2 linked regions of the Xenopus tropicalis genome follow. The protein of the gene in region 2 purifies or fractionates together with the protein of the main gene of each other region. This does not show direct contact. Links are inferred from orthologs where the notes say so. Each region holds a gene or a part of one and is shown on either strand. Other genes may lie near its edges. The genes, in order: stx12 and snap25.

Evidence for each region.
Region 1: the proteins of snap25 (region 2) and stx12 purify together in Homo sapiens (co-immunoprecipitation; 3 studies listed by BioGRID and IntAct, with this or other methods). This does not show direct contact. The link is inferred for Xenopus tropicalis from reciprocal best matches to the Homo sapiens genes SNAP25 and STX12.

Annotation. Positions count from the first base shown.
Region 1 is NC_030678.2:83,638,764-83,643,025, forward strand, and holds the start of stx12 (syntaxin-12), read right to left. Parts: upstream 3,091-4,262; 5' UTR 3,070-3,090; coding exon 2,976-3,069; intron 1-2,975. UniProt on the Homo sapiens protein: SNARE promoting fusion of transport vesicles with target membranes. Together with SNARE STX6, promotes movement of vesicles from endosomes to the cell membrane, and may therefore function in the endocytic recycling pathway.
Region 2 is NC_030681.2:26,669,239-26,673,610, reverse strand, and holds the start of snap25 (synaptosomal-associated protein 25), read right to left. Parts: upstream 3,029-4,372; 5' UTR 2,961-3,028; intron 1-2,960.

The sequences.
Region 1 (4,262 bases), on a different chromosome or scaffold from region 2:
GAAATTGTAACCAGCATACTTATCTTCACTTTAAAGAGTGTAAAAATAGACTCATATTATAGCCCCATAATACATATGGAAAAGCTATTACTGGCGATTATAATGGGATTCTCATCTGAAATCCTTGTGCATATTTTCAAGGGTGGTCTTTGTGAAAATCACCTGTACTTGTGTATTCCAATGATTCGACCAGAATGGGGGTGGGTCATAAGTGGCCATACTGCCTGTAATAAGAAAACAGTACCTTGTACTTGCATGGTAACTAAATTAGTAAAATCCATGTTGGTAGCAGATTATTTTTTTCCTTTTAACAAATTTAAAAAAGGTACTGAGATCAGTATCATGGGAAGACTTCTTATCCGGAAAACCCCAGGTCTGAAGTCTTCCAGATAACTGATCCCAAACCTGTACAGGTATGGGATCTGTTATCAGGAAACCCCTTATCCAGGAAGTTCCGACTCCCACTGACTCCATTATAAGCCTATAATTCTAATATTTTTTTTAAATGTCCTTTTTCTCTGTAATAACAGAACAGTTACTTGAACTTGATTCCAACTAAGATAAAATTAATCCTTATTGGTAGCAAAACAAGCTTATTGAGGTTAATTTTTAAATAATCTTTTAGTAGACTTAAGCTATGGAGATCCAAATTACAGAAAGATCCCTTATCCATAAAATCTCAGGTCCCTAGCATTCTGGATAATAGGTCGCATACCTGTACCTGTGTTTTTTTTTTTTTTTAATAGAAATTTATATTTATTATTGATATTCCTTTTCTAGGCCATCTCTAATGAGTTACAACTAAAATATTGCACCTTCTTTATTTACCTGTACCAGACTTCAACTTCTTTTTTAGAAATGGCTGCTGTTTTGAAGATGTTGGGCTTTGGGTGTGGTACTGACCCGACAAGGCTGGAAGTACTGTTTAAATCAACCTTGACTAGACAAGTGCCACAGGTAAGTAAAGGGGGTAGGGGGATGCCAGGCTTCAGTGTTAAAGCTTTAGGTTATGGAAGGAACCTTTTTCACCAACAAATTCCTGTGAAAACCTGTAAAGTCTCTGTATAAATTATATTTGCTGAACATGCCCAATAAAACATTACCTATCTGAAAAAGACTATGTAACTTCAACCTGTACCGCACTTCATGACAACAGTGCACCTTATATCAGTATGACACAACAACACACCTTGACAGCATACCGAGAAGCTGAAAACACAGTTATCAGATCTCAGCAGTGTGCTGTTATCAGTGCAGAATAACTGGGCCATTCCAAAACATACAATAACAGTCATTTGTAGGACAGCAGCAATTTTCCTGTAAACACTGCACTGTGCTAGTCTATAATTACAAAAAGAAAAACAGCAGCATAGTGAACAATGAACAAAAAATCTCATTACATGAATTACGTCCTTGCTATATCCACTTTTAATTAGAGGCTCTCACATGGAGTGCACATTTACCACTTCTCATTAAAAATACTGAATATAATTAAGATACTATCATCTCAAAAAAACCTTTTTAAAAAAAAATACCATGTCAGTCCAAGCCTGCTTGAATCACAGTACAATGAATGTTCTGTTATAAAGATAACTAGATTCTCAGCTATAAAGCAAGACAGGACTGACTGCTGCCTTCTTAGACTAAGGACATTAATCATGTGATTTCACTTTCAAATGGAAGCGGAAACATAGGATTTTTAACAAGTAAAAATGTAAGGTATTTTCCCCCCAAATTCCTTTACTTTACTAAACCTAACATGACCAACAGGCAAAGTGTAATTTTGTTAAAGATGCCCCTTTAAGATGGTTAAGGAATGGGTATGTTTGGATAGTAAATGTCTTATGTCTAGTCCAAATAGAGGGAGTGACAAATTGCTCTTATGACGTATTTACTACTATTCCATGGCATCCTTTAATTAAGAGCTGAACACTTGTTTAAGAATGAAACTACACATAGACTTGAAGAACAGAGGCCAGTAGTACCAAGACTCCATATTTATTTATTTACTTACTTCTGGGGGTATGTAATGATTGGCAGAAGTCAATACTGTGAATCTAATACATAATGATATACAAGAAAATACATATTTCCTGCCAAGTCTCATTCATTCAACATGATAAATCACACATTATGAACTCCTATCCTGCTGTCATGCTGGGAGGAAGGAAATATTACAATTTCATGGCCCCTGCCTGACCTGGTGAATCCTGCTTGTGCCCACGCCCAAAATTTTCTCTGAGCTTGCAAAGCAGTGATCAGGCAGTTAGGGGGGAACAAAAAACCCCCATGGAGTAAGGCAGGAATGTAACCCACTCAACACAAATTCAGTAAGCGAGGGTAAAACTGCTCAGCCTGATTTCACTGGTTGCTGAACTACATTTCTACAAATGCTGCCTTTAGGATAATATTGTAATGTGTAGTTTAACCACAGCAAGAGCCCAACCAGGTGACAAGCCTAACAGTAGTAACTTCTTGGTAACAGTAACCCAATCAGGAATCTCCAGTAGGAAATGACTTCCCACTGCACTTAGCTCCCTTCCTGCCTGTCACCCCTGCTTCTCTGTGCCCCTCTGCCAATGAACATGCCAGCTGATAGCTGCTGTACTGTACACCCACCCACCAACCAACACAAGGAAACATTAGTTGATTTTTGTCATTTGCCAACTGTCCAGTCTCCATATATGCAATGCTATATAAATAATTTTCTCTATTTCCAGCTGTGTCAGTATAGCCGCCCTTCCTGTACATCAGTGGGTGTGTAGCACCTGGGAATTACACATAATACAAGGGGCCCATATAACATGTTAATCTCTGTTGTCCAAAAGTTCCCATTGCCAATGGCTAACAATTCGTCCTTCAAATCTCCACCAGTACCCCCATCTATATACTGCGGGTGTGTGCAGCTCGCTGCGATCACGGATATATATACAGGAATAGGACCGGTGCTCTGTAGAAAAACTGGGGATACTGACTGTTATTTGTGATCCTCTGCACATTGCCGCTGCAGGTCTGAATAATGCTGTTGAAGTCCCGGGCACGGCTCTGCTGCTTCATGTACCCAGACATGTTGCTCCTCTTAGGGCCCCGTCCTCCTTTCTGAGTATAAGAGATGGTGGGATGAAGCGACTCTAAGGAAGTCGTGATGTCATAGCCATGTGACCGTGATGTCACGTAGGAATTGTCAGGCTCCTATCAGCGATAAGCGCCTCCCAGTCATGATACCACGTGACAGCTTGGAAAAGATGCTGTTGTTGCCACTCCTTTAAAGAGAACAAGGAATGCAAATGTAGAATTCTGCTGGTTTATAAAAATCAGCAAGTGCGCCTTTGGAGGATGGGGTACTTAATATCCCAGGTCCTGGAGCAATTGCTGGGTCTAATTATTTTTTTTTCCCTACACCCCTAGTACTTGGATTTAATGGAGGGAGATGAGAAATATGCTGGGTGCACATGGGGGACAAGTATTGTGATCTTTAGTAAAATGTTGTTTACCTGTACAACAGGTAAGCAGTTGAAGCATAGTGTGTGATATGTATGTTCAAGGCTGCTGTTAAAGGGCAAGGTGATATATACAGGAATTATATATGAGTGATGTGTAGGCTGGGACTGGCAATCTATGGGTTCTGGCAAATGCCAGAGGAGCTGCTGTAAGATGTTATAGACAGTTAATATTTATTGGGCTGGTAGAGGGCTGTTTGGACCTCTTGTGTACTTGAAATGCCAGGGCCTATTTTGACTCCCAGTCTGGACATGGCGATGTGTAATATCTGTTGGACTTCTTGGGAACTCTGAATGCTGAGGGAGGGCAGTTTGGTAAGTCCATCAGTGCCAGTGGATAGCAGCGTTTTATGTATGGATGTTTCTGGGGGTTGCTAGATAAGAACTGTGATTGGTTATTTGGTAGCCCCTATGAGGACTGGCAGCATACAGGAGGCTCTGTTTGGCAGTACACCTGGTTTTTATGCAACTAAAAATTGCCTTCAAGCCAAAAATTAAAAAACAAGCACCTGCTTTAAGACCCCCTGGAGAGACATCTAGGGTTAGCGAGCACTATGTTGCTCACAAGCCACTGGTTAGGGATTACTGTTCTTACAGAGGCAAGTGATGAGTATTGTGCCACGCAAAAATCTTTGCGTCACTGCATTTTGAATCATCTTTAAGAAAGTATTGTGTGTGTGGGAGGTAGAAATACGGTAGTTTGAATTAGCAGAGGTGCGCCAGGAATTTTTAAAAAAAGACCCCTTAACTGCTCTCCTCTTT
Region 2 (4,372 bases):
CACATAAAACCTATTATATAAAATTGTGCCATTTAAGACTGTACAGGTAAATGTAGGTATTGCCTGCAGAATCTTCAGATAAATATCTGATAGAGAAATGATACGCTGTTTATGAAAAGTGTGTGTGCACAAGGCTATTGATGAAACCAGGACAATTGTAATATTCGGATTTCATTGTTTGCCTTCTGACTTGAACAATTAATCACACCTGGACAAATAAAGTGTGTTGGTGAATGCAATGTTGTCGGTTTGTGTTGACTTTGCTTCCCTAGCTCTATTACTAAAAGGCAATGCATATAATAATGTACCAATTACATGAACGTGGTTATGTGCGAAATAACAGCCATTACTTTTCCGACTATTAAAAATTAGTTACAGTGCTCAAAAATTCACTGCAATGCTGTATTAAAGGAGCGCTGCCATACTATACTGCAATACAAGAATCCATGAATCAATAGGCCTGTTTTTTTGTAAATAGCTGTTCCAGTGACGCAGTTTGCAAAAGAGGGACTGGGGTTTCAGTTGCTTACATTAATAAGAAGCACTATAACAATCATTATACACAAATGTATACGTATTACTTTATATCCTGCATTAACCAAAATGTGCCTATGATAATAGGGCAAATTAATGAATGTAAAAGGCTCTGTCTCATAGTCAAATGATATATTATACAGATCACTATATGACATTAGGAGAGGTTTATGCCACATTTGTCACTTCATTTATTTAGCCAGACAGTCTCAAAGCAGGATATTGTACAGGTTGTTGGCCTACTGATCTGAACAAGAGGACTCATCCACAGTAATCCCCTGATATAGCACCTCTATCTGTTTTCCTCAGTACGCATTTCCTGCGTTGTAAAAAAAAAAAAAGAAATGCAGCCTGCCTCGCAATCTCCAGAGATGCATCAAAAATCCAATTCCAAATTCTGATTCTGAATAACCTCTACATTAAAGGGACTTCCATGTACACAAATGCCATCTGTTTCCTTTGCATCATGTTTTATGTATGTAAACACATGAGCGCCCTTTGATTAATGAGTGGAATGGGAGAATCTATTGTAATATACTTCATTTACAGGTCAATAATTTATATGATTATGCTACAGCTACGTTCTACTCAACTCACTAACATTAACGTATTCAGCTGTATTTATCAGCAAATGAATATCCGACAGTCTAAACAAACCTGCAGTACAGAGGTGTTAATAAAACAAGTGAAGAGCATAGAATTAAATATACAGTATATATACACTTTTAACAGGTATACAAATGTCATTGTAATAGCCTTTATCCTGATAGAACACGAGATATAGACCAATCTAGGAGTTTTGTTCTTGCAATGCAAGATACCCGTAACCAGATATCCAAATGTACTGTAATAGCAGTTCAACCAAATCCAACATTATTTGTATTTTTCCCTTGCTACGTGCTGCCATGGTCTGTGCTACAGCAGTGCCCAACTCAGTCCTTGGGAGCTGGCTGAAAAGGTGCATTGGGGTGGGGTCTCTCTGTTTTACAGTCATTCCACAACACATCGCTTTGCATGATGAAACTGCACCATTTGCTATAATATTACTATCAGGGACAGGTGGCAATCTGCTGCAAAATAGATCATTACTGGGTTTCACTGTCAGATGCATTGATTGATCACTGATCATGTGACCAAGTAATACATATCTTATTTATCAGTGAAATGAGATGGGTATAAGACACAAACAAGCTAATAACTGCAGTGCAATTGCTTCTGATAAATATTCTCTTAGGGCGCAGGTTAGTTTTGCCTGTAGAAGTCCCCTGCCGCCCATCTGAGCAGCTACAATGTCTGTGTAAAGGTGAAGCAGCTCTACAAACAATTCCAGCAGCCCTGAATGTGTTCCTCTGCCACTAGGGATGTAAGTCTAGCAGTGCCCTGCCTCCCTCCCTTCTTCAGCTAGAATGCAGATCCCCTCCCCCTCGCTTTCTCTCTAGTGGGTAACAAAACCAGCAGTAATTACTAATGCCCCTGCACGTAAATCTAACAGCTTCAAAGCCTGCCTTTTGACGCAAGTACGCAGAACTGTCTGGACGTGTCACCATTCCCACCCCCCCATTAGTCTTTGAAGTTCTAAGCTCTTCATATAAAAATATATACCTTTACATATGAATTTAATATGAAACATGCGAACATACACTGCACACCTTTATATCCCACACATGAGATATGCAACCTATGCCCCCAACATGCTGTTGTGAAGTTACAAGGCTGTTGGGAGTTTCAGAGTAAGTTGTAGTTCAACAACAGCTGTTTGGACATATCAGATACATATACACTATATCTATCTGTCATTGATCTATCTATCTAGCATGTACCCATCTATCCAGTATCTAACTACACCTTGTTGGAGGTCAGGAACGCGTATACATTCTATAAAGTATGGCAGCTAATGTTAGCAGTGCCCCTGGCACTATCTGATCATAATAATCGCAGCCAGAAGCCCACAAATCTGCTGTGGGGTAAGGTATAGGCTGGAGGCGAGTAAATCCCTTCCCTACAGTACAGCGTGTCGGTGCCAGACGCTGCGGCAGGGAGCGGGCGTTTTTGCTGCACTCACTCTGCAGTAGAGCGCTGTCCGCCGAGCTGCGGTGCTGAAACCGCCCACAAGCACAGTCTATGGGGCTGCTCTCACGTCTATTCCTACAGAGCCGAGCGCTGTGCCCAAAGGGACGCGGAAAAGCCCGATTTCCTTGCGACAAACGCCAAGGATGATTAAATCCCTTGCAGCCTGTGCAACACGAAAATAAATTTGTTCAAAAGCGAGATTAAAAATAACAAAAAAAAAAACGCCGCCTTCCATTCGACTGACAGCCCCAGACCTGATTTGTAGACACATACAACAATCGCAATCTTGGGCTAAAGGTTGGATAAATAGTAATGCAATAGGAAAACGTAGAAGCGACAAGCAGTGGTAGTCTTACCGTGAGTAGGGCGTAACCAGACTCTAAGGCTACTCTACAACCTTATTTGAAGGCAGTATTTGCAGGGAGGTAAGAACCACCGTTCCTGACCTCCTCAAGTCGTCTTCTTCAATGGAACTGAGCTCTGCCCTCATCAAAGATGGCCGTCCTTCTTGACGTCAGCAGCTTTTAATAGACATCTATCATGGGGCGGAGGGATCGGGCTGGGGGAGCTTGAGTCATCGTCTGCCTTACAGTGCTGCAATCCTTCGCATTTTAATATATGCGCCTTGATTTTCGCGCATCGCCCCCTCCCTGACAATGCTGCCGTATAACGGCTCCAAGATGGATTCTTTGCGACTAATGAGCTGCGGGATAGATTGGCTGTACAATGTGAGGGTGGGGGTGCGGCTGGGTGCCTTGCTCTGGGCTAATGCAGCACGGATTTCTTTTCGCCAAAGGGGTGGTGCAAAGGGATATCCCTCTCTGGTGGGTGCTCCTTATATGGGAAACCTACGTGGGCAGCCTGGCTATACTGGCGCTATAAGAGATTTCCTAGGATGCTGCGACTGAATGGGGGGGGGGGGGGGGGGATGCAGGTATAAACACTGGGTTTAGTCATCACTTATAACAGGTTCTAGCATTTCTAGCCAAATTACTTGCTGAGCTTTAGTTACCTTTTAGGTTTAGATCTTCAGACTAATTTCAAGTGGGAAGGGCTGTACTGATCATATAGGCACCCAAGGGCTCTTGCCTAGGGCTGCAGCGTCAGGGGGGCATCTCACAGGTACCTATATTAAGGAATACAGTCATGGGAAAACATGTTGTTTTAAAAAAAGCATTAGCTTCTCCAGCAGGATCCTGCATTGAAATCCATTTTTCAAAAACACATATTTTTTTATATTTCATTTTGAAATTTCACATTGGGCTAGCCATATTCTTCATTTCCCAGGGTGCCACAGCCATGTGACCTGTGCTCTGATAAACTTCAGTCACACTTTACTGCTGCGCCCCAAGTTGGAGTGATATCCCCCCCCCCCGAAGCCGATCAGCAGAACAATGGGAAGGGAACAAGATAGCAGCTCCCGGTATCAGAATAGCACTCAATAGTAAGGAATCCAAGTCCGGCTTGGGACTCCTCCAGTTACATGGGAGTAGGAGAAACAATAGGTTACCTGAAAGCAGTTATAATGTGTAGCGCTGGCTACATCTGAAAGCTCAGACTCTCTGCACTGAGATGGCGCCTACACACCAATATTACAGCTGAAAAAAATACATTTGTTGGTTCAAGAATAAAATTTTAAATGGTGGAGTGAATTATTAGCTATGTAAACTGTGTAATTTAGAAAGTACCCCATAAAAATCATGACAGAATCCCTTTAAATTAAAAAAAAATGAAACATTTCCTTAGTTGTTTTATAATCCTGTAGCGG